3 linked regions of the Callithrix jacchus genome follow. The main gene of each other region encodes a partner of the protein of the gene in region 3 in a complex. Links are inferred from orthologs where the notes say so. Each region holds a gene or a part of one and is shown on either strand. Other genes may lie near its edges. The genes, in order: CFAP107, PACRG and TUBB4B.

What was found.
Region 1: the proteins of TUBB4B (region 3) and CFAP107 are in contact, whole or in part, in a cryo-EM structure (PDB 9CPB), measured with the Bos taurus proteins. The link is inferred for Callithrix jacchus from reciprocal best matches to the Homo sapiens genes TUBB4B and CFAP107. Residues at the interface, in NP_001029835.1 of Bos taurus: Lys19, Glu22, Asp26, Tyr36, Asp39, Ser40, Asp41, Leu42, Gln43, Leu44, Glu45, Glu53, Gly56, Gly57, Tyr59, Pro80, Leu215, Leu217, Thr219, Thr221, Tyr222, Gly223, Asp224, His227, Leu228, Ala231, Gly244, Gln245, Phe270, Pro272; in NP_001033296.1 of Bos taurus: Thr74, Val75, Glu76, Gly77, Leu78, Tyr80, Lys81, Leu83, Ile84, Thr85, His86, His87, Gln88, Glu89, Gln92, Arg93, Tyr94, Leu95, Ile96, Ser97, Thr98, Asp101, His102, Pro133, Pro138, Thr139, Asn140, Tyr141, Leu143, Tyr144.
Region 2: the proteins of TUBB4B (region 3) and PACRG are in contact, whole or in part, in a cryo-EM structure (PDB 7UNG), measured with the Homo sapiens proteins. The link is inferred for Callithrix jacchus from reciprocal best matches to the Homo sapiens genes TUBB4B and PACRG. Residues at the interface, in NP_006079.1 of Homo sapiens: Glu194, Phe260, Pro261, Arg262, Gln291, Phe294, Asp295, Ala296, Arg306, His307, Gly308, Arg309, Tyr310, Val333, Lys336, Asn337, Ser339, Tyr340, Phe341, Gln375, Ser413, Asn414, Asp417, Ser420, Gln423, Gln424, Tyr425, Gln426, Asp427, Glu432; in NP_689623.2 of Homo sapiens: Glu40, Gly41, Phe42, Thr43, Val44, Ala46, Met47, Met48, Val53, Arg54, Gly55, Pro56, Pro57, Ala58, Ala59, Gly60, Ala61, Phe62, Arg65, Lys154, Arg160, Arg162, Arg191, Gln192, Pro195, Asn198, Ile199, Phe200, Asn202, Met203.

Annotation. Positions count from the first base shown.
Region 1 is NC_133508.1:50,637,221-50,647,394, reverse strand, and holds the start of CFAP107 (cilia- and flagella-associated protein 107), read right to left. Parts: upstream 4,400-10,174; 5' UTR 4,181-4,399; coding exon 4,070-4,180; intron 1-4,069. UniProt on the Homo sapiens protein: Microtubule inner protein (MIP) part of the dynein-decorated doublet microtubules (DMTs) in cilia axoneme, which is required for motile cilia beating.
Region 2 is NC_133505.1:169,261,772-169,271,945, forward strand, and holds the start of PACRG (parkin coregulated gene protein), read left to right. Parts: upstream 1-5,779; 5' UTR 5,780-6,070; coding exon 6,071-6,226; intron 6,227-10,174. UniProt on the Homo sapiens protein: Microtubule inner protein (MIP) part of the dynein-decorated doublet microtubules (DMTs) in cilia axoneme, which is required for motile cilia beating. Suppresses cell death induced by accumulation of unfolded Pael receptor (Pael-R, a substrate of Parkin).
Region 3 is NC_133502.1:185,645,758-185,655,853, reverse strand, and holds TUBB4B (tubulin beta-4B chain), read right to left. Parts: upstream 6,055-10,096; 5' UTR 5,978-6,054; coding exon 5,921-5,977; intron 5,620-5,920; coding exon 5,511-5,619; intron 5,430-5,510; coding exon 5,319-5,429; intron 4,886-5,318; coding exon 3,825-4,885; 3' UTR 3,684-3,824; downstream 1-3,683. Other genes in the region: CIMIP2A (ciliary microtubule inner protein 2A), read left to right, coding at 1,553-1,767, 1,842-2,107, 2,195-2,321, 2,659-2,753, 3,088-3,205, 3,595-3,683. UniProt on the Homo sapiens protein: Tubulin is the major constituent of microtubules, a cylinder consisting of laterally associated linear protofilaments composed of alpha- and beta-tubulin heterodimers.

The sequences.
Region 1 (10,174 bases), on a different chromosome or scaffold from region 3:
TTTGTCTCACAATGGTTTTTAACTTAAAGCCTACTTTGTCTGATACAAGCCCTACCTACTCCTTTCTGGCTCTAATTGCGCAAAATATCTCTGCTTCCTTTCACTTTCAACTTACACGTGTACTTCCATCTATAGTCAGTCTCTTGCAGGCAGCATATGGTTGGATCCTGTTTTGTAAACTCTCTGCTAATGTTTGCCTTTTATTGGGAAGTTTAATTCATTTACATTTAAAAGTGATTACTGATAGGGAAGGACTTACTTTTGCCATTTTAGTATTTGTTTTCTGTATGTCTTGTAGATTTTTCTCCCTTATTTGCTCTTACTGTCTTCTTTTGTGTTTTATTTTTGAGGGGCACATTTTGATTCCCTTATTATTTCTTTTGTGAATATTTGATAGGCATTTTCTTTGTGGTTACCATGGGGATAATATACAATGTTCTACAGTTATAACAACATATTTTAAATTGTGACCAACTTGGCCGGGTGCGGTGGCTCATGCCTGCAATCCTAGCACTTTGGGAGGCCGAGGTGGGTGGATCACCTGAGGTCAGGAGTTCAAGACCAGCCTGGCCATTGTGGTGAAACCCCATCTTTTAAAAAAAAAATTGTGACCAACTTAAATTGCATACCAAAACTCTACTCTTTTTATAGCCCTGCCTCCCTCTGCTTTATGTTATTGAAGTCACAAATTACATCTTTACATAATGCATACTCATTTACATAGATTTATAATTTTATGCACTCGTCTTCTAAATTCTGTCAAAAATAAGGAGTGGAGTTATATTCCAAAATTATAATAACTCTGGCTTTTATGCTTGTCTACATATTTACCTTTCCTGGAGAAGTTTATATTTTTGTATGACTTCAAGTTACTGTCTAATGACCTTTCATTTCAACTTCAAGGATTGTCTTTGAGAATCCTTCCTTGCAAGTTAGGTCTACTGTCAATAAACACCCTCAGCTTTTGTTTATCTGGGAATGGCTTAACTTTTCCCTCATTTTTAAAAGACAGTTTTGTGGAATACAGAAATATCAGATAACAGTATTTTTTTTATCAGCACTTCAAATATATTATCCCATGGCCTTCCAGGCTCCAGGGTTTCTGCTGAGAAAATTCCCTAATTATCTTTTTTATTATTTATTATTTTTTTTTTTTGAGACAGGGCTTTACTCTCACTCTGTCACCCAGGCTGGAGTGCAGTGGCATGATTTTGGCTCACTGCAAACTCCACCTCTCAGGCTCAGGTGATCCTCCCACCTAAGTCTCCTGAGTAGCTGGAACTACAGGAATATACCATGTGCCCAGCTAATTTTTATCTTTTGTAGAGATGGGGTTTTACCATGTTGCCCAGCTGATCTTGAACTCCAGGCTCAAGCAATCCACCTGCCTTATCTGCCTAAAGTGCTGAGATTCAGGCATGAGCCACCACATCTGGCCAATTCCCTAATAATCTTGCTGAGGATCCATTGTTCTTGATGAGTTACTTTTCTCATGGTGCTCTCAAGATTCTCTCTTTGTTTTTGGGTTTCAATATTTTAATTATAAAGTGTTTCAATGAGGGTCTCTTTAGATTTTTTCCTACTTGGAGTTCATTGAATTTCTTGGATATGTAGATCTATGTATTTACTGAAATTTGGGAATATTTCATTCATTATTTTTTCAAATACTCTCTTGGCCCTTTTCTCTCTTCTCCTTATGGAATCCCCTTAATGCATATATTAATATGCTTGATAGTGTCCCATAAGACCTATAGGCTCTGTTCACTGCCTTTAAATTTGCTGATTCTTGCTCCTGCCTATTCAAATCTGCTGTCAAATCCCTCTATTGAATTTTTCAATTTAGTTATTGCATTTTTCAGCTTTAAAACTTGTTTGACTCCTTTTTAAAATTTCAATCTCCTTTTTGATAGTCTCATTTTGTTCATGTATTGTTTTCCTTATTTACTTTGGTTCTTTGTGTCCTTTAGCTACTTGTCCATATTTAAGTCAGCTGTTTTAAAGTCTTCTCCCATTGATTTTCTTCCTTTGGATGAGCCATTTTTTTTTCTATTTCTTTGTATGTCTGGGGTTTTTTTTGTTGTTGTTGAAAATTGGGCATTTGAAAAACAGCCAACTCTTCCAGTCTCTGTAGACTGTCTCTGCAAAGGAAGATCTTTTCTAACCAGCAGGTAATGTTCTGAGTCTTGGGGTCAGCCCAACATGAAGGCTTAAAGCATTCTCAAGCCTGGTGTACATCTTGCCTGGACCTGGGTATGCTTTTTAAAATTCCCCCATATACACAGCTGCCTTTAAATGTTTTAATTTCCAAGAAAAAGTCTCACCCCTGCTTCTTCTTGGACTTCAGATGTTCTATTGTATTCCTCTACCCATAGTCTCTGGCCCCAGGTATTTATAGGTTTGTAATCCCCTGGCAGCTTTCACTAGCTGTGCCTGTCATTGCTTTCCATGGCTTTTCCCAGCCTGAGATCTGAACCATGCCACCTTCTCCCATCTGAGCTCCAAGTCAGATGAAATAGCAATCCCTCAGGCAGCCCCAGACAGTTTCAAATGTTGCTCCACCCACTCTGATTTGAAAGAGGGAGCTTGGAGCTGAGCTGCCACTTGCCCTAAAATGCAGACTATGCTGTGCTGTGCTGGGGAGGTAGTGGGAAAAGAGTAAGTAAAAACATCATGGAATTTCCTATCATTCTGAATGTGCCTTTTTCTTGATTGGGCATTTGGCTGGCTGCTGTGTATCTTTGACTGTTTTCCAGAGCTCCTATAACGTTTTCACGTTTTTTCTTTAATGTTTCCATGGGGAATGAGAACCTGGAGCTTCTCAGTGGCTTAGTCTCACTTCTTAGGTGTGAGACCAGCCCATAATGTCCCTGAGTAGTGCATCACCCATGGGCACCTGAAGGTATTTTTGACCAGTCCTTTTTGCTTTTGGAATTTTTCTTGCACATACCTGCTCCCCAAACAAGGCCAAGTACAGTTGTTGCTGATGATGAACAAAGGTTGTATCTGGCCAGAGAGGTGGTGATTACTAACATTCTCCATAAAAACAGACTTTAAACTTTCCTTCTTTTCTCCATACCAAAGCTGACAATTCTATTTCACCTTCTTTTCCTTGCTCACTTTCCAAGAAGACATGGAGAAGTGTAGATGCCTTTGAAAAACTTAAATGGCTTAGTCTTGCCAAACACGAATGAAGATATTCAATTTCAAGTACATCATCTTGAAACTTTGCCAACTCAGGCAAGGTGTTTTCCAAAGACCTTTATAACACAGAGGAAAACCAAGAGCCTAATTGTTCTGTTTGAAAGCAAAAATTGGCTGGGCATGGTGGCTCACACCTATAATCCCAACACTTTGGGGGGCCAAGGCAGGCAAATCATTTGAGGTCAGAAATTTGAAACCAGCCTGGCCACATGGTGAAACCCCATCTCTACTATAAATACAAAAATTTAGCCAGGTGTGGTGGCGTGCATCTATAGTTACTCGAGAGACTGAGGCAGGAGAATTGCTTGAGCCCGGGAGACATAGGTTGCAGTGAGCCAAGATTATCCCACTGCACTTCAGCCTGGGCAACAGAGCGAGACTCTGTCTCAAAACAAAAAAAAAAAGAAAGAAGGTAAAAATTGAAATGCATTGGTAGGGCAAGATTGTGGAAAGGTGCCAGAGAGCAGCAAGCACATCCCTGGACATCAGTGCAGAGAATGCCAAGCTGGCCTGAGGAGGTACCACATTCTGGGAAGGGCCAGGATAAGGAGAGCAAATGTTCTTCACATCAAGGTACAAAAGAATTAGGGACAGCACGTATATAGATGCCTAGAAACACTTCACTGAGAATAGTGCTGAGAAGCACAACTATATTGACACCCTGCTACAGTATTCTAAAGATAGAGTAGGGAACTTGATGGTTGCTTGAATATAACTATCCTTTGTACAGCACGAAGACTCCAATGCCACATTTTTAAGATGCAATCATCTGCTGCCCTCCATCTGAAAACAGTGATGGACTTCACTCCCGCCTCTCCCCATCAGTCCTTCCTCTGAGCCCTCTGCCCAACATCTCTCGTTTCCTTACCTTTCTCCTCTCTTCCACCCAGTTTCCAGTGAGCACTCTTGTTGAATACTTGGTCTCGATCTGCCAGCTTGGAGTAGAGACTGGTTGTGGATTTACTGCAGTGAAAAACATGATAAGGATTTGCCCCAGGTTTCTTTGACTTGACACAGTTTAAGGTTTTAGGGAGAGAGGAAGGTGTTATGAAGTTGCTGAGTTTGGGGTGCCTTTTTTTTGTCTTCCCAGCTGGCCTCCTGATGGCTCCCTGCTAACCTCAGAAAATACAACGGCCCCAAGGGTTCACTTTCAGCCTCTAGAGAGAGGTGATCTATCTTGGATTCTCTACTGTTGACTATCTCCATGGTGACAGACTCTGGGTATAAATAATCTCTGTAACAGAACAGCTGATTCTGCAGAAGCAAAATTGAGCTTGCAAAAATAAATCAAACCAACCACCACCACAAAGGCAGCCTCCGGAAGAACCTGGTTTCTGTGTTATCACTATAATACCAGCATCATCTTTGCTACACTTTTACAATTGGGATGAGTTAGATTCTGCTACTATTTAACGAATGTTAATTCATTTGCTTGCTCCAAGCAAAGACATTTATGTACATTCATTCACCTGTTTAATCCTCACAGCCGCCTTCTGAGACAGATGCCACTGTTATACCCATTTTACTAACGAGTACGCCGAAGCAAAGAGATTAAGTCACTGCCTAACGTCATGCGGTTGTGATGAGATTTAAATTCCACACAGAGATTTAAATCCACTCTGGTTCAGACCTAAACCACTGGGATCCCTTCATTTCCTGTCTGCTACTTTTCAGGGGCTTGCATAAAGAATTCTATCTTTGTGTCTGCATTGGTATAATACAGTTCATTCGGTCAGTCTTCATTCATTCATTCCGCAATCATTTCACATTCTATGTCAGGTGCTTAGCTGCAGCTGCAATGCATTAGCAACCAGACCTGGGCACCATCTCCACAGAGCTCAGTCCAATGAAATAAGGGTCTTTGTCTTGCTCATTCATTAGGAAAAAAAAAAAGTCAAAAAGCACCAAGATATCCATCAACAGAGGGCTGGTTCAATAAATTGTACTATATCCATATAATGAAATACTTGGCAAGTGTTTTAAAGGCTGATTTAGGAAGATGCCTATAACAGATAGTTAAGTTAAATAACCAAAACCCTGTGTGCTGTAGTATTGCTTGCTAAAAATGAAGAGGCTGGATTTACTGCAGTAGAGAAATTCAGAGCAAGTTTCCAATGGCCTTTAAACAAAAATATTGGAACTCCAGGAAACTACGTGTTCCTTCTTGAAACTAAGCCTGTGGCAGGAAAAGGCCATGAAAGACGTCCCGCAGATTAGAATAAACCTTTATTAGCAGAGACCACAGTGGGGGCAGGGCTGGAGCTAGGAAGAGGCGATGTCCTTCTAATTAACGTGCAGAGGAGCCATGTGTTCGGCATAATTCAATTCCATCCTCACGTGAAACACAAACATCAAAAAGTACATTACAAATAAATGTGCAGGCTGACTGCGGTGGCTCACACCTGTAATCCCAGCACTTTGGGAGACCAAGGAGGGTGGATCACGAGGTCAGGAGTTTGAGACCAACCTGGCCAATATGGTGAAACCCCAACTCTACTAAAAATACATAAAATTAGCTGGGCATGGTGGTGTGCACCTGTAATCCCAACTACTCGGGAGGCTGATGCAGGAGAATTGCTTGAACCCAGAAGGCAGAGATTGCAGTGAGCCTAGATCAGACCACTGCATTCCAGCCTGGGCAACAGAACAAGACTCCGTCTCAAAAAATAAATGAAAATAAATAAATGTACAGATAATTGAATTATGGAATAGCAAAACCCCACAAAAACCACTGAGTTGGTCAAGAAAGAAAACATTGGCCAGGCGCGGTGGCTCAAGCCTGTAATCCCAGCACTTTGGGAGGCCGAGGCAGGTGGATCACGAGGTCAACAGATCGAGACCATCCTGGTCAACATGGTGAAACCCTGTCTCTACTAAAAATTACAAAAAATTAGCTGGGCACGGTGGCACATGCCTGTAATCCCAGCTACTCAGGAGGCTGAGGCAGGAGAATTACCTGAACCCAGGGGGCGGAGGTTGAGGTGAGCCAAGATCACGCCATTGCACTCCAGCCTGGGTAACAAGAGCGAAACTCCGTCTCAAAAAAGAAAAGAAAACATTGCCAGTGCGCCCAGAGTACTCCACATGTCCCTCCCACTCACAACCCTTTCCTCCCCTAAAGGAAACCACTGTCTTGACTTTCATAGCAATCATTTCCTTGCTTTTCTCTATATGCTTAATGCCGAAGTATGCTCCTAAACCATAATGTTCAGTTTTGCCTATTTCTGGACTTTCATACAAGTGCAATCCTATAGTATTGAGTCTGATCTCCCCAGGCAAGTTAATGTTTTTAAGATTCACGCATTTTGCATGTTGTCATGTTTACTATGTTTTATTCATCATGGCCATGGAAAAGACCGCCAGCATGGCTAAATAGTAAAAAGAAGAGCTTTAATGGTGATGGAAGTTTGCAAACCGCACAGACGGATAGTCTCCAGCATGGATCAGAGCTATTCTCTCTTCCAAGAGAAGAAGGACAGGTTGGGTTTCATGCTTCACAAGGCCTGTATTTATATATATTCAGCAGGTTTGGGGGGAAGCTATACATATTTATGAGTGGAACTGAGCACATGCACAGTGGAAAAACATGTACGTAACATCTTTCATACATGTTACGTAAAAAACATGTACATAACATGTTTCGTACACATGTACGTAACAATATTTCGTAAACATGAAATAGCTTTGCATGTTTGTGGATTGCATGTAAATGGAATCCTATAGTATCTGTTTATTCAAGTCTGGCTTCTTTTCCCCAATATTGTGAACGTTTTAAAGATTCACCCATGTTGCATGTAGCCCTGGCTGCTATGACTGTTTTGTACACGATTGTCACTCAAAAGACCGCCAGGGTGGGTAAATAGTAGGAGAGCTTTCTTGGTGACACCAGCTTGCAAACTGTGGGCCAGGTTTTAATATTAAATGAGGTGGAATTTGGCTCTTTATGTCAAAGGTGAACTGTAGGACACAAAGAGAGTTTCTGCACAGCCTCTATAAGCTGGCTGAAACTGGCTTTAGGTCTGCAAGATAAGCCCGGGCAACATGGTAAAACCCCCATTTCTTAAAAATATATCTATACACAAAAAATAGCCAGGTGTGGTGGTGCTCACCTGTAGTCCCAGCTACTAGGGAGGCTGAGATGGGAGGATCCCTTGAGCCCAGGAGTTTGAAGCTACAGGGAGGTGTGATCATGCCACTGCACTCTAGTCTGGGTGACAGAGAAAGATCCTGTCTCAAAAAAAAAAAAAGAAATTAAAATAGAAATTTAAAATATATTTTGGTGGTCATCTGGAGAATACTCCTCTATTAGGCTGTGTAGATCTTCCAAACTACACCATATTTTAAAAAATACACTTGCTGCTGGATACGGTGGCTCACACCTTATAATACCACCACTTTGGGAGGCTGAGGCCAGCCAATCACTTGAGCTCAGGAGTTGAAGATCAGCCTGGGCAACCTGACAAAACCACATCTCTACAAACAAATACAGAAATTAGCCAGGCGTGGTGATGCACACCTGTAGTCCCAGCTACTAGGGAAGGTGAGGTAGGAGGATGGCCTGAGCCCAGAAGGTGGAGGCTGCAGTAAGCAGTGATTGCACCACTGTACCTAGCTTGGGCAACACAGCGAGACCCTGTCTCAAAAAAAAATCCCATCTGCTAACATCTTTACTGACATCGTCAGAAAAGCGCTGAACTGTTAGGAAGCTGTCCAGCTCACAGTGGCGGGCGCAAGTTTTCCAAAGTTCTAGCTCTAGTTCTGTTATTGGCAACACAATTTTGTTATTGGCAACAACTAAGCTCAATTGTTTTCCTTGAAGTGACAGACTTACTTCATTTATTTTCAAGAAAACATTTCATCGGGAGGCTGAGGCAGGAGAATAGCTTGAATCTGGGAGGCAGAGGTTGCAGTGAGCCAAGATCGCACTCCAGCGCTCCAGCCTGAGTGACAGAGCAAGACTCTGTCTCAAAAACAGACAAACAACAACAACAAAATAAAACATTTCAAATTTAAATAATCATGGTTTGTCTGCAGGTAATCATGGTCTGTCAAGTAAGTATGGTATTTCATTAAAAAAAAAAAAAAAAAAAAAAGCCCGGCTAATTAACTCGGTTCACAAGCAAACTTGCTTTTTTTTTGTTTAAACTGTGAGTATGTGGCAGTGAAGAATAAATGATACTAATACAGTTAATGGCACTACCTTAATTTGCGCATAGGTGCCAGCAATTTTACCCACAAATGCTTTTGCACCATCGAAGTCAGTACTGTGGGCCAGGTGCGGTGGCTCACACCTGTAATCCCAGCACTTTGGGAGGCCGAGGCAGGTGGATCACCTGAGATCAGGAGTTCGAGAACAGGTGCCCAAAATGGTGAAACCCTGTCTCTACCCATAATACAAAACTTAGCTGGGAGTGGTGGTGCACCACTACTCGGGAGGCTGAGGCTGGAGAATCGCTTGAACCCAGGAGGCAGAGGCTGCAGTGAGCAAAGATCATGCCATTGTACTCCAACCTGGATGACAAGAGTGAAACTCTGTCTCAAAAAAAAAAAGTCAGCACTGTGGAAAAAGGCAAATAACATCTCAGTATTATTATGAAAATTGTTTTGACCTCACAGGCCCCTTGGAAGGGACTTGGGGTCTCCAAGCCTCTGTGGATCTCACTTCGAAGCCCACTGCTCTAAGGATCAATATTTTGGAGTGAAATTGCTGCATCAGAGAGTGCCTATGTGTCTCCAACTGTACTATATAATGCCAATTATTTTCCAGAGTGTTGTATCAACTTACATTTCCACCATGAGTGTATGGGTGTTTCCATTGCTCCACACCTTCCCCAACTCTTTCAGCATCCCAAACAGAAACTCTATACCCATTAAGCTATAACTCCCCATGCTCCCCTTCTCCTAAACCCCCGGTAATCTCTATGCTACTTTATCTCTGTGAATTTGCCTAGTCTAGGTATCTCATATAAGTGGAATCATATAATCCTTGTCCTTCTGTGTCAGTTGTCTTTCACCGAGATGATGTTGTCAAGGTTCATGTATGTTGCAGCATGTATCAGAACCGCACTCCTCTTTAGGGCTGAATGGTATTTCTGTTGTATGTATTTAACACAGTTTATCCATTCATCTGGGGATGGACATTTGATTTGTTTTCACCTTTTGGCTTTTGTAAATAATGCTGGTTTGAACATTGGTGTACAAGTAGATGTTTGAATCCCTGCTTTCAGTTCTTCAAGTTGATTCCTAGGAATGAAATTGGCACCACAAAACTGTTTTCTTCTCTCTCTCTTTTTTTTTTCTTTTCAGGTCAGATGGGTTATGTGCTGACGTCATGACATGGTTCGAGGGTGGCACGTCTCACACACGTATGTGAACACCCAATCATCATGTTCATGAACCATAAAAGGATCTGTTTCCCACAGCGTCTGCATCATTTCTCATTCCCACCCACGGTGCCCGAGGGTTCCCATTTCCCTACATTCTCACCGACACTTGTTATTTTTCATTTTCTAAATAATAACCATCCTCACTGGGGTGAAGAGGTATCTCATTGTGATTTCAGTTTTCTCTAATGGCTAATGGTACTGATCACCTTGTCATGTGCTCATTGGCCATTTATATATCTACTTTAGAGAAATGTCTGTTCAAGTCCTTTGCCCAGTTTTTGTTTTGTTTCCGTTTTTATTTTAGGTTCCAGGGGTGTATGTACAGGTTTTTACATGCAAATATTGCAAGGTCCTAGAGTTTGAGCTTCTAATAATTCTGCCACCCACACAGTGAACATAATACCCAATAGGTGGTTTTCAACACTTGCCCTCCTTCCCCCTCACCACTTTGGGAATCCCTGGTATCCATTGTTCTAATGCATGTGTCCGTATGTCCCCAGTGTAGAGCTCCCACTTATGAGTGAGAACATGTGGTTTTTGGTTTTCTGTCTCTGCATCAATTCACTCAGGATAATGGCCCCCAGCCA
Region 2 (10,174 bases), on a different chromosome or scaffold from region 3:
ATATAAAGTTCGTGCCTTTGGAATTGGATCTTGAATGATGAACAATAGTTTTCAGATGTACAACAGACAGAAAGGGCATTCAGATCAAAGAGAATTACATGAGCAAAAAAAACATGAAAAATCATGTTTTCAGGCATGTATGTGTGTGCTGGTATGTATATACATCTTCCTAATTACTCTCCTTCTGCAGTGGTGAAGGCGGTATCTATACCACCAAGATAAGCCTCATCAGCCCAACTAGGCCACAAACTCATTGGGAAGAAATAGCCATTTCTATGTGCCTTCCCCACAGGCAAATATATAGACATATACAACCTATGTGGACCCACCCCTATCCAGCACCACCTAATACATATGTTATAAAGAAATTACACTGAAATAATTATCATGAATTTAAATACCTATTCATCCAAGGAAAAAAGGTTTCTATTTGGTGAAAAACAGACATTTGAGTTAACCTGTTAGAGTCTTAGGTAATTAGGAAAGTACTCAGGGAAAGAGTCCTATTACTGCCTTTCCTTTTAACCAACCTTCTATCCTACAGGATGAAGTAAACAAGAAAGGGAGGTGAGCTGCAACATGTATTAGCCAACTGTCACATGAGTCTCTTTCTTTAATATTACAAAATGCAGGGAGAGAAACCATTCAGATTACCACAAAGAAATATGTAAAATGAACTCATTAAATGTGAATTAAAACAGAAACACTGAATAAGCACTGGGCTACAATTAAAGGCTGAAGATACAGCAGGTAAGAAACAATTTTCATTGATCAAAGAACTAAAAGCTAACAGAATCAAGTATTTTGCATTAAAACTGCTTTCATGAATATGAAGCATTTCGAATAACTTTTTTTGCATTTTTCAAAGAAGCTTTGGAGGTAGGAATTGATTTACATATCTTAATACAAAATACTTTCACTGTATCATTTTCAAGCAATGAAGCTATGAGGTTTCAAAAACTGCAGACTGCAAAAACATCCTCAGAAATAGAGCCAAAATTGTAAAGGGCATTGGGTCATTTTAGAGCGTTCCGACCCAAGGAAGAATTATTAAATAATTATATAAAATCGTCTATGCAAAACTTTAGTAGAGCCTATTTTTGACACAATTTTCCCTCATCATAAACAGAAGCTTTGGGGTACTTAGGCATAGAGTTGGTTTTCATCAACTCATTAAAATGGCAGGGCAAAGAGCAATACACCGTATTTTCAACTAGAAATACAAATTGAGACTTTGAAATTTACTGCACACAAGCTTGAAAACAAATATGCAGATGTATGAGCAAATAGTGAAGGCGGAATGTACGTTCCTGAGGGCAAAGGACTGTTTCTGTTGGGTTCCCTCGTTTCCCTGGCACTTAGAGCAGACCAGGACACATAGCAGGTGCTGGAATCACTGGATCTGCTTTTGTGAAACTGACACATTATGAGAATAGGAAGTTTTCTTCACATATTAATTTGAAAAGTTAAAAGATGCTGCTTTTCATCTGTGAAGAGGGCAAAAATAAATAATCTTTGATGGAGGAAATAGGTACTCTCATACACACTGAAACAAAGGGCAGGGCCACCAAGGACAGTCGTGCAGCTTGTATGCTGAAAGGCACTACATCTGGGTTGGAGAAAGGTAGGGGATTGGAAATCCAGTAGGTGTTCCACTAGTAAAAGCGGAGTCAGTCTCAGGAAGAATGCCTTTTGGAATTTTCAGCCCTGAAAGATAGGGCAGATCTCTACTACCATGTTGCATTAGAGGAGATTTTAGATAGGCTTGTAAAAATAGGGCAATTTTTTTTACAAATTTGGAAAAAACTAGCAAAATTTAAAATCTACAAACTCTTTAACTCAGAAATTGTCATTAAGATTTTTATTTTACATATATGCTTACATATGCAAGTAAAAAGATACGGCCACAAACATTTCAGATAACAGCTGTTTGTAAACCTAATGAGTGTTGATTTATCGATAAGTATTTTCATAATTAGTGCATTCCATAAAAGACTGGGCAGGAATTGCTGTGGAGTGGATCTGTACCTGCAGATGTGTAAATTCTCAAAGAGATGCTAAGTGAAACAAGGTATAGAAGAGACTATCTTCCAATGACTGGTTTTTTTCTCGTTAAAAATCTTAAAGTATAAGACACTAAATGTGTATTTCAATACTGACAACATGTTTGTATATATAACCATGCCCTCTAATATCTGCTGTTACTCAAATACCTAAATCCAGTTCTACGGAATGTTTAGAATAAACCACAAATATCACCACTAACATTCCATTTTAAACACAAAGAACTGCTTATTTTTTAAAAAGTCAACATATATTTTTAATAGCGGTACCAAAAATTACATTTTTATAAGTTGAATTATTTTAGGCATTTTTATTCTGTTTTATATTGTGCTGAAATCCTTCTCCACACTTTACAGAAGGCAAATGTATATATATTTTTTTCGAGACAGAGTTTCGCTCTCGTTACCCAGGCTGGAGCCCAATGCAGCGATCTCAGCTCACTGCAACCTCCACCTCCTGGGTTCAAGCGATTCTCCTGCCTCAGCCTCCCAAGTAGCTGGGATTACAGGCATGCACCACCACACCCAGCTAATTTTATATTTCAGTGGAGATGGGGTTCTCTATGTTGGTCAAGCTGGTCTCGAACTCAGGACCTCAGGTGATCTGCCCGCCCTGGCCTCCCAAAGTGCTGGGATTACAGATATGAGCCACCACGCCCAGCTCACAAAGGCACAATTTTTAACAGACTTTAACTAAATTATGTTTCTGTAGCTGCCTGGATCAGAATATTCAGTGTATCAATCATAATCCACGTGGGAAATGTAAGTATTTTTGAAACAGTCTTCATGCCAAGAAGAAAATCTTTGGTTTTGAGAAAGTCAACAGAAGGTACATTTCATTAGCAGTGAGGTCACAGTCAGTCCTGTTTATTCCTATTCTACCAGGAAATGCATCTTTATGTTTCACCTTAAAGTAAGCCAGAATTTAAATAAAGTGGAAGAGTATTATTTGCATTAAGGCGAGTTTAGCACTTAGAGAAAATGTAGATCTGAAAGGAGCAAGCTTCAAGAAAGCTCTTACCTTTAACAGAAAAACAATCACAGATACATACTATTTAGATTTTGATCTCCAACTGATCACTGGGTAAAGTCTACATTGTCTTTGCTGGCTCTGAATTATCTTCACAAACACACAAAATCCATCACTCCAGGGCTTCCTTTTAATCATTGTCACTTTCACCTACCTTTAGCACTGTTCTCCACACCTAAATCCCAAACCGGCCATTCAGATGTTTATTGAAATGTGTCTAATGAGGCTGGGTGCAGTGGCTCACGCCTGTACTCCCAGCATTTTGAAGGCCCAGGCAGGAGAACTGCTTGAACCCATGAGTTTGAGACCAGCCTGGGCAACACAATGAAACTCCATCTCTACAAAAACTTAAAAATTGGCAGGCATGGCACACACTTGTAGTCACAGCAACTCAGGAGGCTAAGACGGGAGGATGACTTGAGCCCAGGAATTGGAGGTTGCAGTGAGCTGTGATGGTGCCACTGCACTCCAGCCTGGGTGACAGAGCCAGACCGTCTCAAGAAAAGAAAGAAAAAAAAAAGAGGGACGGGTGTCTAATTTCAGAATTAGGCAATGCAATTAGTTGAATAAAATAATGTATTGCACACTGTCCACAATTTCTTATGTAATGTACATTTCCTAAGGAAGGCAGGCATGGATTTAGTCATTTATGTTCTAATGCACACTTACTTGCACTATTTAAAGCAACAGCTGGAGTCGGAGAAAACTTTTTTAAAACCAACCTTCTAGTCTCCAAGTCATTACTGGTAATTGATAACTGTTGAATCATCAGCTCCAAAGATCGTATTTCTTCCTTCTTGGAAGAAGAATTCCAGATAAAACTAAACAGAACTGCCCAAACATATTTCATCCTAATAAAGTTATTTATATAACTTATTAGGTAATAATTTATAACTGGGTAATGTTCTTTAGATTTTAAGTGCCTGTCTTCATATAGCTTTACAATAAGGTTGTTTCTCTTAAAATTATTTGTGCACTAGATTAAGTTGAATTAAAATAAAATGTGTTTAACTGTCTTCAAAATAAGACAGGCTATTTTCTTCCCGTAGACTACTGACAGCACGGATTCTGGAAAACCTCTTCTACTTGGTTTTCTGATTCAGTTCAGATTTGTGATTACAAGTCAATCTGACGTAGACGTCACCTAAAAAGAGCTCAGGAAAACTCATAAAATTTGTAATTTTTTCATAATTTGATAACCTTCAAGTCATTCACCAAAAGTCAGACCATGATAGAAAGGGAAGAAAAGCTGAAGAACATTCTTGTTTTACCACAGAGACAAAGACAATGCCAGTTACCTGACCTGAGTCTCCCACTAATGGGTAGCATGTTTACATTTTAACAATAACTTCATAAACAAAAGCAGATATGAGAAGTATTTTCAGTGCATAAAGATTAATATTTTATAAATCCACCTTTCATCTTTCTTCTGGACAGACCGCATCGGACTCCGAAAGTACTTACTGCAATCCAAAGTGTTTTGTAAGTGACACTCCTCAGGAATTAGCCCTAAACGAGCTCACCAAACCCTCCATACATTACGTGGAGAAACCTCCATAATAAGGACATCTCACATAGCATTGTTTTCTAAACATATGGTGCATTTCCATTAATGTTCAGGGTTAGCCCCTAAAGTAACTTTTGCCTTAACAACCCTGGAAGACAGGACCTTTGCTCATCTCACACTTCAAGTGTTCATGAACAACTCTGATAGCCACCAAGTTTCGTTTACAAAATTGCAGCTCGGTCATTCCGGGTTTTACCAAAAAAATCGTAATTTTGCAAAAGGCAGAAGATGTAATCTCGGCAATTATTTACTCTTAATTTTTCTTTCACCTCAGACCTTCAACGAGAGGTTGAAAAGGAAACATTCGAAGGGGCAAGAAGTTTAGATCCATCTGGAGGAGTTTCTGTGGAGCCCAACCATCCTCACCAGGTGCCTTCCATTAGAGTTTAATGCTTTGCTGGGGTTTCCTGAAAGAGCCCCACAGAGAGTGGGTCTCGATGGGTACTGAACCGCACGACCACCGCCGGCCAGGGGATGGAGGAAGGCGAGGGGGGACGGCGGCGGAGCGAGGGCTTCGGGACCCCGCACGGTCCGAGGGACCGCGAGCGAGGAGAGGGGATGCGGGGCCGACTGGCGTCCCCGGCGAGGCTGTCTTCTCGGTAACGCTCAGAGCGGGAGAGGACGGGGGGCGCTTGGAACACACACATTGGGGCCCCAGGCCGGCGTCAGTGAACTGGGGAGCCCAGCGGCGTGGGCCGGGGTAGGCACGGGCACTTTGGCTCCGTCATTGACAGTTGGCAACGGGGGTCCGGTCGGCCGAGGCGGGGCGTGGCGCCGAACCGGGACGCGGGGCGGCGCAGAGAGGCTGTACCTGGCAGGCACCCACGTACCTAGCATGGTCACTGGGCAGGTGGCTGTTGCGCGACAGACAGGGGGCCTACGCTCGCACGGGCAACCGCCCGCACCTGCCACCAGCGGCTCTCCCGAGTTAAATCGTCCAGGCCTCCCCGCCCCCGCGCCCGGCCCTAACAATGCGCACGCGCGGACGGTACGCGGCCCTGGGCCTGCTGGGAGTCGTAGTTTTAATGCGTAGTTTCTTCTCACGTCTCCTCCCCACGTCCCTACCACCGCCCTTTCCGGCTTCAGGCCCAGGAAGCTTACGTCACAGGGGAGGCGGGCAGAGCCCTGCGCCCACAGTGTTGACCAGTCGCTTAGCAACCGGGAGGCTTACCTTTGGAAGCTTGTTGCAGCTCTAGCCACGGTCCTGCCCTCTTCCCGCCCCGCCCCTCCCCTAAACTCCCTTCACCAAGGAGCTGCCAAACATCTGGATCAACCTGGGCACTACAAAGGGTTGAATTTCTACCATTAACGCGCCTTTTGACATTTTTTTCCCGACCTCCTGCTCACATCCGTAAAATCCACTGATTCTTTTACTACACTTTTTATGAGAACAAGATATTTTCTAGGAAGATGGTGGCAGAAAAAGAGACCCTGAGCTTAAACAAATGCCCAGACAAGATGCCGAAGAGGACTAAGCTGCTGGCACAACAGCCTCTCCCGGTGCACCAGCCTCACTCCCTGGTTTCTGAGGGCTTCACAGTCAAAGCCATGATGAAAAACTCAGTCGTAAGTGATCTTCCTGAATTAAATGCACTTGCTCCGAATCAGGGGACACGAGATTTACAGAGGTTGGCCAGCCATAGGATGGACTCTGAGCCCAAGCCCTGGGTGGTCTTTGCCAAAAATGGCAATTACTTGGCAAGTAGCAGACGGTATCCCACAGCGTGTGGAGGGCAGGCTAAGTTGTTAGAATCTTGGGCAAATGATGTACTCTGCCCATTTATAAGCACCTCCCCGATAGCTCACAGTTTGCGCTATTTACACCAGGAAAAAAATCCCCCTTACTTACTAATTCCTAACTATCCCTACTCAGCGAAGAGCCTTATAGTAGGTGAGTTCTTAGAAATCATAAACTCTTGCAAAATTTAACATGAGCTGATATACAACTGAGCTGATATAAACTCAAGTAATCTATAATAAGAAATTTCTTCTCTTCAACCTAGGAAATTTTAGAATACCCTAGCATTTACTTTTACACTTGGCTCTTACAAAATGATGTCAGCTTGTTAGAGTACTGGAAGCCAACTTAATATGAACACTGTTTCCTGATAGGCCTTTTTAGATGATGTGCTTTAAACAATACAAGCTTTAGCTCATTTATCTCTGCTACTAATACAATTCAAATTTGTCTCTATTATTTGTAGTAATAAAAATAAAATATCTTAGATATCATTAGAGAAAAAAGATTAAAAATACATACAGATATTTTAGCTATATACATGATAGTGTATTTTTTAAAAACCTTCCTATTTTTTAAATAGCTTTACACTTGGTATGCTGAGCCAGATTTTGCTACTTAGTAAGCACCTGTCTGGGAATGAGGCATTAAATAATAAATGCAGCTTTCAAATCGGTATAATTTACACCCTGGGAAGATCTGAGTTATTGCATGACAATTCATTATGTTAAATGAATAGTGTTGTTTTCCAGTGCATTATTTCTTTTGCTTGTATGTTGCAAACCTAATACCTTATTCCTGAACTACATACTTAAAATACATGAATGAAACAGATTACCTATAGACCCCTAGGCCAGATTTGCATGTGGCTGTGCAAAATGATATCCTAATTATTAGAAAATATGTCAGGTGATTTACAGTAGTTAAAATTCTTGGAAATAGACTAAATTTCTGCTTGTTGTAACTAATTCTTTTTCTCTGCTTGTTGTAACTAATTCTTTTTCATGGAATTTCACATAAATTGGTTCTCATAGGAGTCAAGATGACTCATTTATCAGCAATACCAAAACCATTCAAGTTAATCATTTAATTTTTCTTCTACACAATATTTACAATTTTGGTGTTTTTTTAATGTTATACTTTAATATCACAAGTATTTTTTAATGCTGGGTTCTCCTGTTTTTTCCTAAACCTGTCTTCATAATTTTTAGTTCTGCAAAATCTGATGTTACTGTATTGCCAAATGTAATATATATACCTACAAGACTTACAAAATTGATTATGAAGCAGCTTCTTTATAAACAACTTAGTTGAGATCCATTATCTTCTCTTTTTTTATTCTGAAGGAAAATCTCGTACTGGCAATACGTTTCTTGCCATTGGAAATTGTAATGCTTAAATGCGTACATTATTTATCCATTCATCTATTTATTCAGTCAACAATCCTCTCTCTCTATTTTCTTAATACCCAATACTTGCTAAGCACAGTTCTAAGGATTTAAGATCAGCAAAACAAAGTCTCTGCCCTTAGTACTCCAAGGAAAACCGAAGTAACAATCAAATCCTGCTAGAAGAAAGCTAGACAGTACTGTTTCTGTAAAATAACTTCAGTGGTACAGAAAATAAAAATTTTCAATTTCATAACCGATAATTACATTTCACCATATTTACCTTTAGCAGTATAGACTTTTCAGCACTGTAAAGTCAAAATATCCTCATCTCTTTCTGAAGGTGTATTTCTATTCAGGATATATAGGCCCATTTTTAGCTTTTCTTAATTGCAACCTCATGCCCCACAGCCTATACCCTCCAAACCGCTTTTCCAGTTAGATAAGTCACCTTCCAAAGCTCTTCCACCTAAAACGTGAAGAACTGAGTATATCCTATGGAGTTATACAGAGACTCCTGATATTTCTCTGAGCGCAATAGTGATACAAGTACATAAAGTTGGTCATAAATATGTTTCATCAAATGGGCCATGCAAGCAGAAATACTTATTTAAACAGTAAGTCTGAATATGAGTGTGCAAAATTATTGAAAAAGTAGTAAATGTAAATGGCAAATTTTTAAAAATCTCAATATCAACTATAGTTCTTCTATAGAAAGTAGACTCTGTTTCCATGAAATTTTTGTTGCATTCTTTAAGAAAACGAGCATCACAAAAGGCCTGCAATCAAATAATATTCAAATTCACATTTTTATAATGCTTACCTATAGATATAAAAGATATATAATTTGAAGATTTCTTATAGTTCATTTTCCTTTTAAAGGTCTTGTTTTGAGTGCAATAGAGCCCATGACCAGAGACTAGTAAGCCAGCATTGTGTGGTCTGTATCTTGCCAGGTGCTTTCTGTGCTAAACCAGCTTATCATGAGCAAATTCGAAAATCGACCCAAGTTTACAGTGACAGAGAAGTTGAATTCAGCCGAAGCTTGCTATTACAGCTTTCCTTCTCAGTAGACTATAGATGCTTTATGCTTAAAGTTTGGGGGAATGGAATAAATATTTTCTTTAATATTAAAGGTTGAGTATTCCTATTCCAAAAGTCTGAAACCTGAAATGGTCCAAAATATGAAAGTTTCTGAGTGCTGACCTTACACTAAAAGGAAATGCTATTTTGAGCATTTGGATTTCAGATTTTTAGAATTGGCATGACAACCAGTATATAATACAGATATAGTCAGCCCTTTGCATATATTCCGCCTCCATGGATTCAACTAACCTTGGATTGAAATGTTTGGGACAAAAATTTTATCTGTATTGAATATGTACAGACTTTTTATTTCTAATAATTATTCCCTAAACAATACAGCATAGCAGCTATTTACATAGTGTTCATATTGTTTTAGCTATTATAAGTAATATAGACATGATTTAAAGTATATGAGGAAATGTGTAGGTTATATACAAATACTATGCCATGTTATATCAGGGACTTGAGCATCTGCAGATTTTGGTATCTGCAGGAGTTCCTGGGAGCAATTCCTCATGGAGACTGAGGGATGACTGTATGCCAAATTTGAACAAAAAACAAAAACAAATCCAAAAGACTTCTGGTCCTAAGCGTTTCAGATAAGGGATAGTTCAAACTGTACTTTACAGTATAATGTGTTTTATATTTACCAGTCATATACTCATTTAACACATAGTGGTAATCATCAATGTTTATAAATTGTGTATTAAAATATTAATTTGGCTGCTTTAACAGAGACCAAATAACAATAGCTTAATTAAGATGGAAGTCGTTTCTGTCATAATAGAAGTTCAAGTTTGTAAGCAATCCCAGGAGGTTAGGCAGCATTTCCCCGTGAGGTAGGTGCAGGGGCATAGAAGCGTGTTTGTGCTTTGTATACTATAAAATGACACCTGAGACAAGCTGGGCTCAAGACCACGAGGGTCAGACACCTGCCCTCAGGAAGGAGGAAAGTGGAAGCAGAGAGCTTCCCATTATGGTCATGATCCAGACACAGCACCCCAGTTTCATTCTCGTCGAACTGGCCAGAACTTAGTGATACACCTACATGTTCCCTTTTGGCAAAATTGTACGAAAGCTTGACCCATGAAGCAACTCCCAGGTCCACATACCTGTCTCCTCAGGAAAAGGATGAAGAAAGCTACGTAGTTCCCAAAGGGCATCATCTCTAACACCTGCTTCAGGTAGGGGAGAGAAAAATGGGTACAGAGCAACCTGCAAGAATTAGGCAGGAAGAAATGAAGAGCAAGCAGCTTCATTATGAGGGCATGTCCCAGAAACAGCAATCTTCATTCCTGCTCA
Region 3 (10,096 bases):
CCCAGCCCTCACCCTCCCTGCTGGTGCACCACTGCAAACACCACGCCAGGTGGCCACACGTCTGCTGATCAGAAACCAGGGCAGCCAAGCAGCGGGTGCAGGCCAGCTAGGAGGTGCCTGATGCCCACTCTGTAGAGAACTCCACACTTTAGTTCCTATTTGTATATAAATATATATAATTTTTTTTTAAGAGACAGGTTTTCACCATATTGGTCAGGCTGGTCTCGAAATCCCAACCTCAGGTGATCCGCTCACCTTGGCCTCCCAAAGTGCTGGGATTGCAGGCGTGAGCCAGTGCACCCAGCCCTTTATGTTTTTTTTAAATTATTTATTAGTTTATTTGAGATGGAGTCTCGTCCTGTCATCCGGGCTGGAGTGCAATGATGTGATCTGGGCTCATTGCAGCCTCCGCCTTTGGGGTTCACACAATTCTCCTTCCTCAGCCTCCTGAGTAGCTGGGATTACAGGTGCACACCACTACACCCAGCTACATTTTCTTGTATTTTTAGTAGAGAGGGGGTTTCATTATGTTGGCCAGATTGGTCTAGAACTCCTGACTTCGTGATCCACCTGCCTTGGCCTCCCAAAGTTCTGGAATTATAGGCGTAAGCCACTGTATAGGTGTGACTCATACTTTATTTATTTTTTATTTTTTTGAGATGAAGTTTCACTCTTGTTGCCCAGGCTGGAGTGCAATGGCATGATCTCAGCTCACCACAAGCTCCGCTTCCCCGTTCATGTGATTCTCCTGCTTCAGCCTCCTGAGTAGCTGGGATTATAGGCATGAGCCTCCATGGCCAGCTAATTTTGTATTTTTAGTAGAGACAGAGTTTCATCATGTTGGTCAGGTTGGTCTTGAACTCCGGACCTCACAGGATCAGCCCGCCTAGGCCTCCCAAAGTGTTGGGATTACAGGTGTGAGCCACCGCTCCGGCCCGTTGGCAATTTTTGAAACAAAGGCAGTTCTCAGTCCTTCAGTGATTATGCAGGCCCTGAGGAGCTGAACCGCCTGCACCACCTGCAACATGCCCCATGGGCCAAATGAAGGCCCCAAAAAGCCTAGCCCCAGCCCTGGTCCTTGTGAGACACCACTGACCTCCTGGGGTGGCAGGGGCAGGCTGAGCCCACCGCACACACTCCTGGCGGGCCCAGCCTGTGTTCAGGGGGCCGCCCCTTGCCTAGGCCCTGGCCCACATGTCCTGCGCCTGAATTTGCTCTGCCAGGGCAGAGAACCCCTGACTCGTTGGCCGTTGGGATGAGGGTTGGGAGGGGTTGGAAGGCTGTCGTAGCCTGTACAAGGCCAGCAGCCATCTGCTGTGGTGCTGCTGACTCGTCCCCAGCATGTGCTGTGCACTGCCTGTTCAGACTACGACAGCCCCAGAAGGCAAGTGCCTCTGCAGTCCCATTTGCAGATAAGCAGAGGGCAGGGGACCTGCCGAGGGCCAAGCCGCTGCTCAGTGGTGGGCAGGCTGGACCCCCGCCTGGCTTGATGGGCCCTGGGCAGCACTGGGCTGCCCTTGAGCCCTGCCCTGCCTCCTCTCTCCCATCACAGCTATGCCGGCTTCTACCCGCAGCTGCGCTTCCAGGTGGGGAACACCTACGGGCGCACCACAGGCCAGCTGCTCACAGACCCCAGCGTGCAGAAGAGCCCCTGTTCTGTGCTGTCCCCCATGTCCAAGCCCAAGTTCATTGAGGACTTCAGCCAGTCCAGGCCTCCCTGGGTTCCCTGCCGAGACCTGACTGAGCCCTACGTTCCCCACTACACCAGTGAGCTGCCATCCCCAGCCCCACACCTGCCCGCGCCCGCCTGTCCCGGCACTCACAGGCTGCCCTGTCTACAGGTCTGAAGCCCTACAAGAACTTTGAGATCCGAGGCCAGCTGCCACCCCTGGATGTGGACGCCCAGGAGCCACCAGGGGTAGAGAACATACCCAGACACCTTCTGCTGCCTGCAGGTGTCATGCCCTACCCCCCCCACCCACTGTGCCCACCAGGCAGGAAGGGGGACTCCAGAGACTCGGGATACCCAGGCCTGCGGCTGGCCTTCAGGGAAGAGGCCTGGAGGAACGCCGCCCCTGTCTGTGAGGCCCGAAGGCAGCAGCAGCAGGTACAGGATGCACTGGTCAGTGCCAAGCGCACTCCAGCTCGGCCCTGGATGGGAGCTGCAGGACGACCTCTGCCCTCCCCACTGCAGCTGTACCACTGCCGGAGGGACGAGTACCCACCCCACACTCACCAGCAGGAGACACTAGATGTGTGCAGGTTCCAGCGGCTGCCACAGCTGGACCACCCCAACCTAATCCAACGCAAGGCCATCGCAGGTGGGCGCAGGGCTGGGCTGGACGAGGACGTCCCTCCCCACAAGGTTCCAGGAATGAGGGCCCGTCAGGCTGCCACAAGGGCCGCTTTTCCTGCTCTGGAATGGGTTAGCAGGCTGGGGGGACCTCCTCTGCTTCCTGCTGCTTCCAGGAGTCCAGCTTTTCCCAGAAGGAGGTGCTGTCCTGCCTGCCTCTTCCCATTTGGCCACAGCAGGCAGTCGCCAACATCCAGGAAAGGAAAGAGAGCCTTACGTGGCTTCCCTGATGCGTCTGGGGAGGTGGGTATGGCCAGGGGAAGGTCAAAGGGCCTGAGTAGGACCTGCACAACTGCCCACCCCAGGCTATGCTGGCTTCATTCCCCGGTTCTCCTGGGTAATGGGGGTAAATTACCGAGACGGCGTCGCACAGGCCATGGACGAGTTCGACAAGAGCCAGGTAGGAGAGCGCCGTCCCAGACCTGCTCCCAGCTCACACAACTTCTTCCAGTCTGGCAGCTTCCCTGGAGGGGCCTTGAAGGCCAGGTTCCCTGCAAAGCCTGGGGAGGGGGCTCTGCCTGGCTCTCCTGTACGCAGAGGGGGCGCCCCAACGCCCTCTCCTGAATCTTGGATCCCTGCACTAAAGTTTTGGAGTGTGGGGTGGGGATGCAGGAGGCTGGGAGCATGAGCAGCTTTCCCACGGGGAGTGCCGGCCCCCGCCCCCACCAGGGGGACACTGTGTGGTCTGGTTGCCCTTGGGGGAGGCAGCTCCTTAGTACCTGCCTGTCTCCCAGTTCCTGTTCAGAAACCCCCACTGTGACCTGGGGGAGAAGCTTCTGGAAACACACTGGCCTAACAACCACATCTACAGCAGTCAAGGCCTGATCCCCTTCTACATGGGGTTCATCCCCTGTGAGTACAGGACCCCATGCCCAGCTTCTTAGGACAGGGTCACACAGACACATGCTGGCCATTGTGGGGAGGGGTGGCTGGGGCTCAAGCTGTCCACCCTTCACTGCTGGTTTGGAACCACCTGTCTGGCCAGTTCCTGGGTTCCATCTTGTGGTAGGATTGTTGGCCATTCTCTCTGTCCCTTTTGGATGGGGGTTACTGGGCTCTCCTAATAATGCCCAGATTCAGGCCACCTGGCCCCCTAAGGTTTGGTACCCAGGACAGGCCAGGCTTGCTTCAGGAAGCAGATGCCCAGAGCAGCCCCACACTCTTCTGAAGCCCAGTTTCCAGCCTATGCTGGTCCCTGGCATGTGAAAAGCCCAGCTCAGCAGCACCCTCGGTCCCCACAGCCATGCAGGACAACTACGCGCTGACGTTTGGCAACAGCACCCGGAAGGCCTACTGGAAGGAACAGGCACGGCGAGACCACACACTATGAAACAGCTTTAATGGTGTTGTCTGTACAGCATGGCGCATGAAAGGGAAAACAGCAGGTGCACACGCAGCGGGACAAGCCAGATAGGCTGGGAGTGAATAAAGAGTTCACACCGCTTCCCTGCTTTCCTGGTGACTGGAGGCTCTAGGCCACCTCCTCCTCTGCCTCCTCCTCAAACTCGCCCTCCTCCTCAGCTGTGGCATCCTGGTACTGCTGGTACTCGGACACCAGATCATTCATGTTGCTCTCGGCCTCGGTGAACTCCATCTCGTCCATGCCCTCACCCGTGTACCAGTGCAGGAAGGCCTTGCGCCGGAACATGGCGGTGAACTGCTCTGAGATTCGCTTGAACAGCTCCTGGATGGCTGTGCTGTTGCCGATGAAGGTGGCAGACATTTTTAGCCCCCGAGGCGGGATGTCACAGACAGCCGTTTTCACGTTGTTGGGGATCCACTCAACAAAGTAGCTGCTATTCTTATTTTGGACATTAAGCATTTGCTCATCCACCTCCTTCATGGACATGCGGCCCCTGAACACAGCGGCCACCGTCAGGTAGCGGCCATGGCGGGGGTCGCAGGCCGCCATCATGTTCTTGGCATCAAACATCTGCTGGGTGAGCTCGGGCACTGTCAGGGCCCGGTACTGCTGGCTGCCCCGGCTGGTCAGCGGGGCAAAGCCAGGCATGAAGAAGTGCAGGCGGGGAAACGGAACCATGTTCACGGCCAGCTTGCGCAGATCAGCATTGAGCTGGCCTGGGAAGCGCAGGCAGGTGGTGACCCCACTCATGGTGGCAGACACGAGGTGGTTCAGGTCCCCGTAGGTAGGCGTTGTCAGCTTGAGGGTTCTGAAGCAGATGTCGTAGAGAGCTTCGTTATCGATGCAGTAGGTCTCGTCTGTGTTCTCTACAAGCTGGTGGACTGAGAGGGTCGCATTGTAGGGCTCCACCACCGTGTCTGACACCTTGGGGGAGGGCACCACACTGAACGTGTTCATGATCCTGTCTGGGTACTCCTCCCGGATCTTGCTGATAAGGAGGGTACCCATCCCAGACCCAGTCCCCCCACCCAAGGAGTGGGTCAGTTGGAAACCCTGCAGGCAGTCACAGCTCTCAGCCTCCTTCCGCACAACGTCCAGCACGGAGTCCACCAGCTCTGCGCCTTCCGTGTAGTGCCCCTTGGCCCAGTTGTTCCCAGCACCACTCTGACCTGAGAGAGAACACAGCTAGTCACTTGTTAGCCAGGTAGATAGCACTACTGGTCACAAACACCATGGGAAAAAAGCCAAGCACGTGGTGTGGGCTGACCGCAGAATCCACCCTGCAGGTAGAGCAAAGGGACCCTCAAAGCGAAAGATCGGCAGCCTGCCGGGTCAAAACGAAGTCAGGAGCCCTGCCAATTTCCAAGGACAGAGCAGCCGACATTGCCCCCAGGTCAGCTCCCTGCAGGGAGATTATGTGGGCGGCGGCTCCTCGCCTCGGCAGACAGCTGGACCTTGCTCCCAAAGCCGATTTAGAAGAGGAGATTGAGCGGCTCAGGAAAGGAGGGATCCAGGGGCCCTGGCCGCGCAGTTCCCACCGCGGTGCCCTTGCAGCCGCCCCTTGACCTTTGAGCCGCCGCCCAGCTCCCAGCCGCGGCTCACCGAAAACGAAGTTGTCCGGCCGAAAGATCTGCCCGAAGGGCCCAGAGCGCACGGAGTCCATGGTGCCGGGCTCCAGATCCACGAGTACTGCGCGGGGCACGTACTTGCCGCCTGCGGGGACGGGAGGGCGTCAGCCAGGGCAGGGACCGCGGGGTCCAGGGAGGGCGGTCGGGGAAGGGGCTGGGGCCTCACCGGTGGCCTCGTTATAGTACACGTTGATGCGCTCCAGCTGCAGGTCGCTGTCCCCGTGGTAGGTGCCCGTGGGGTCAATGCCGTGCTCATCGCTGATCACCTCCCAGAACTGCAAGGGACGCGGGCGGGCCCGGGAGGCCCGGGGCTGAGTCACCGCGGCCGGTGTGTAGGGAGGCAGCCCCGCCCCGGACGGGCGCGGCAGCCCGGCCCTCCCCGCCCTTCCCCCTGCGCCACGCGCCCCAGCCGCCAGGTTCCTGGGGGCTCCGGCCGCCCGGCTCAGCCCGGTCCCCGCGCCAAGGGCCCAGCGACCGCAATGCGGGGGCGCCGCCCGCCGCTGCCGCCATCTTCCCGGGCCGCCCGGCCGCCTCGCCCGGCTGGCCCGCGCCGGCCCCAGCGCCCCGGCAGCTCACCTTGGCGCCGATTTGGTTGCCGCACTGCCCGGCCTGCAGGTGCACTATCTCCCTCATGATGGCGGCGACGGCGACAGCGACAGCGACGAGAATAGAAAGACAGCGAAACAAGCGGAGAAGCAGGCGCGCAGACTGCTACAACCGACGCTCCGCCAATGCTTATATACTCTCTGCGCCCGCCTCCGCCAGCCTCGGATTTGGCTGCCAGAACGAGGCTGGAAAGCTCCCTCGTTTGATTGGTCGCATTCCTGTCAATCAACCTGCCTAAGGTCCGCCTTTTTAACCCCGTTTGGTCTTTATTGGTCAGCCGCAGCCTCCGATCTCCCTATCACAATCCCCCCACCTGGTGCTGCAGTGCTCCGTCCATTGGGTGTTTCAAATGATTGATTTGCTCTGTCATTGGCTGGTTCCCGGGAGCACGCCGTCAGGCTGGCGCTATTGGCTGCGCGGGGTCAGCGTCCTGGTAACCGTCGCAGTGCCGCGGGAGGCGCGCGGAGGGGTGGGGCGCAGGCGCGGGCGCAGGCTTCCGGTCGGGCGGCGGGCAGCTGCGCGGGGAGCGGTGGGGGAGGGCGAGCCGGGCGGGTTTGGGGCGGGCGCAGCCCTGGCTCGCAGCCCGGGAACGCAGTTCGGGAGCCGGGAAGGGCAAGCCTGCGGCGGCCCAGCGTCCGGTGTTGCACCCTCGCTGGCCTTGCCCCGGGACACGGCATCTGGGCGCCGGGTGGGTTCGGGAGCGGGGTCCGCACGGAGCGAGCCCAGGGCTTCCAGGCTGCGGAAGCTGCGGTGCCTTCAAGGCCGGAAGATACCCGGGCTCGGAGGCCGCGGCCCCGAGGGGAGCTCCCTGCAGAGTCGCGGAGGTCGTGGGCCTTCCTGTTGCCGCGTCCCGCACGCCCGCTGCCCTCGCGGTCGGGTGAAGGGAGCACATGGGGGGAGGGGAGCGGAGGGCAGAGGCCTCCCCGCAGCCGCGCGCCCTGCTCTGTTGTGGAGACGGTGCTGGCCTTGCGCCGGTCTCCTTGGAGCCTCTGCCCCCGGAATGCGCGAGCTTCTCCGTCGGCAGGTGGCCCCGGGCTCCAGGGCGGGTCTTCCAACCGCGGGTCGGCGCGCTGGGGCTAAGTGATACTTCCGTTAATGCTTTTCCCAGTTTGTGACTTGATTTCTACTTGGGTAGGAAAAATTATGAATCGCGTGTGGTCCCACCTTTAATCAGTCTGCTTGAAAACAGATGCGCTGTATTTTTCTAGCATTTTTATTTTGCTTATTTTATTATTGTTATTTTGGGGCACGATCTCGGCCCCCCAGGTTCAAAAGATTCTCCTGCCTCAGCCTCCCCAGTAGCTGGGACTGCAGGCACCCACCACCATGCCGCTAATTTTTGTAATTTTGGTAGAGCTGGGGTTTCACCACGTTGGCCAGGCTGGTCTCAAATTCCTGACCTCATGTAATCTGACCGTCTCGGCCTCCCAAAGTGCTGGGATTACCGGCAAGAGCTACTGTGCCTTCTGTATTTTTGTAGCTTTTTTCTTTTCTTTTCTTTTTTTTTTTTTGAGACGGAGTTTTGCTGTTGTTGCCCAGACTGGAGTGCAATGGCACGATCTCGGCTCACCACAACCTCCACCTTCTGGGTTTAAGCAATTCTCCTGCCTCACCCTTCCGAGTAGCTGGGATTACAGGCACGCGCCACCATGCCCAGCTAGTTTTTGTATTTTTAGTAGAGACGGGGTTTCACCTCGTTGACCAGGATGGTCTCTATCTCTTGACCTCATGATCCACCTGCCTCGGCCTCCCAAAGTGCTGGGATTATAGGCGTGAGCCACCGCGCCCGGCCTTCCTTTTTTTTTTTTGAGATGGAATTTTGCTCTTGTCACCCAGGCTGGAGTGCAACGTGTGGTCTTGGCTCACTGCAGCCTCCACCTCCTGGGATCAAGCGATTCTCCTGCCTCAGCTCCCAAGTAGCTGGGACTATAGGTGTGCACCGCCATGCCTGGCTAATTATTTAATTTATTTTTAGACAGACTCTCTGTTGCCCAGGCTGGAATGCAGTGTCGAAATCTTGGCTCACTGCAATGGCCGCCTCCTGGGTTCCAGCAATTCTCTGCTTCACCCTCCCAAGTAGCTGGGATTACAGGCTCCCGCCACCATGCCCTGCCTAATTTTTTTGTATTTTTAGTAGAGATGGGATTTTACCATCTTAGCTAGGCTGGTCTTGAATTCCTGACCTCGTGATCCACCCAACTTGGCTTCCAAAGTGCTGGGATTACAGGCATGAGCCACTGTGCCCAGCCTTGTTTGTGTTTTGTGTTTTTGGTAGAGGCAGGGTTTCACTGTGTTGGCCTATCTTGAGCTCCTGACCTTGGCCTCCTGGAGTGCTGTGATTACAGATGTGAGCCATTGCACCCAGCTGTGTTTTTGTAGTATTTGTATTTGTATTTATTTTTGAGACTGAGCTGTGCTCTCGTAACCAAGCCGGAGTGTGGTGGCACCATCTCGGTTCACTGCAACTTCTTTTTTTTTTGAGACGGACTTTCGCTCTTGTTACCCAGGCTGGAGTGCAATGGCGCAATCTCGGCTCACCGAAACCTCCGCCTCCTGGGATCAGGCAATTCTCCTGCCTCAGCCTCCCGAGTAGCTGGGATTGCAGGCACGTGCCACCATGCCCAGCTAAATTTTTGTATTTTTAGTAGAGACGGGGTTTCACCATGTTAACCAGGATGGTCTGGATCTCTTGACCTCGTGATCCACCCACCTCGGCCTCCCAAAGTGCTGGGATTACAGGCGTGAGCCACCACTCCCAGCTGGTTCACTGCAACTTCTTCCTCACAAGTTCAAGTGATTCTTCTGCCTTAGCCTCCAGAGTAACCACACCAGCTAATTTCTGTATTTTTAGTAGAGTCGGTTTCACTATGTTGGTCAGACTGGTCTTGAACTCCTGACCTCAGGTGATCTGCCCACTGCGGCCTCCCAAAGTGCTGGGATTACAGGCGTGAGCCACCATGCCCGGCTGTATTTTTGTAATGTTTTTAAAAGAATAAATTAGGCCTGCTGGAGGGTGGAGAGGCGGGATAGTGTGGGACAGGAGGATCAACCGCTGGGGCCCGAGGTCTGTGGCCATGTAGGATGCAGTCCAAAGAGGGCCAGAAGAGCTGGGAAGTGGGGCAGGCGGGGCAGGGGCCGCAGGCGGGGCTGGGGGAGTGCCGCCCTCCTCCTTTGGCCTGCAGCTGTCGGAGGATCCACAGTGACGGCTCTGTTTACCGGTGGCCATGGTCCCAGCGGGAGGGTGTGTTACCGCCAGATGGGGGCATCAGGCAGACAGTGTTGACGGCCTTAAAGGACCCGGAGGCTAGCTTTTGTGGGAGGCCTCACCTGCCTGGAAGGACAGGTGCATGGGCGCTTCTTCCTTCTCCACAAGGGCCTCACTGATTCCCCTCAAAGGGTAGGGGAGCTCCCCGTACTCCCTCAGTCTCCCCAGGGAGCCAGCCAGGCCTGTCCCCTACAGGGGTGCCAGTCGGCACCACAAAGCTGGTGTCAGGCCCAGAGGGCATCCTAGAATCACAGGATTGTGGGAACTGAAGCTCTAGCTGCTAAGGGTTCCGTTCTCGCTGGAGCCCACCCCTGAGTCCCCCTCCTCCCCCCCCCCCCCCGCCTCCTAGAGCAAGTGGTCATCTCCCTCGGTGGGTGAAACCCAGGACTAGGAGGCCTAAGAGCTTGGCGGGCAGCTGGGGCAGAGGACCCAGGGAAGACTGGGGGCCAAGGGGGCAGAGGGCCTGGGAGATGTGAGCGGGGCTGAGGGAACCTGAGTGCAGAAAGGACAGAGCCACTGGAGAAATGGCTGTGGGGCCCCTCAGGCCTCATCTTCCTGACTGGCTACACCCCTCCCTATCCCCTAGTGGGGTCTGACCAGGGCAACTCTCAGAGGTGATGGGAAGAGAGGTGCCCTCATCAGGGCTTCAGTTCTTGATGGGAGGATGTGACGGGTCACAACAGCAGACTCAGATGAGCTCACGCCTATAATCCCAGCACTTTGGGAGGCTGAGGTGGGCAGATTGCCTGAGGTTGGGAGTTTGAGACCAGCCTGACCAACATGAAGAAACCACGCTTCTACTAAAAATACAAAATTAGCCTGGCATGGTGCCACATGCCTGCAAACGGGAGGCCAAGGCAGGAGAATCGCTCGAACCCGGA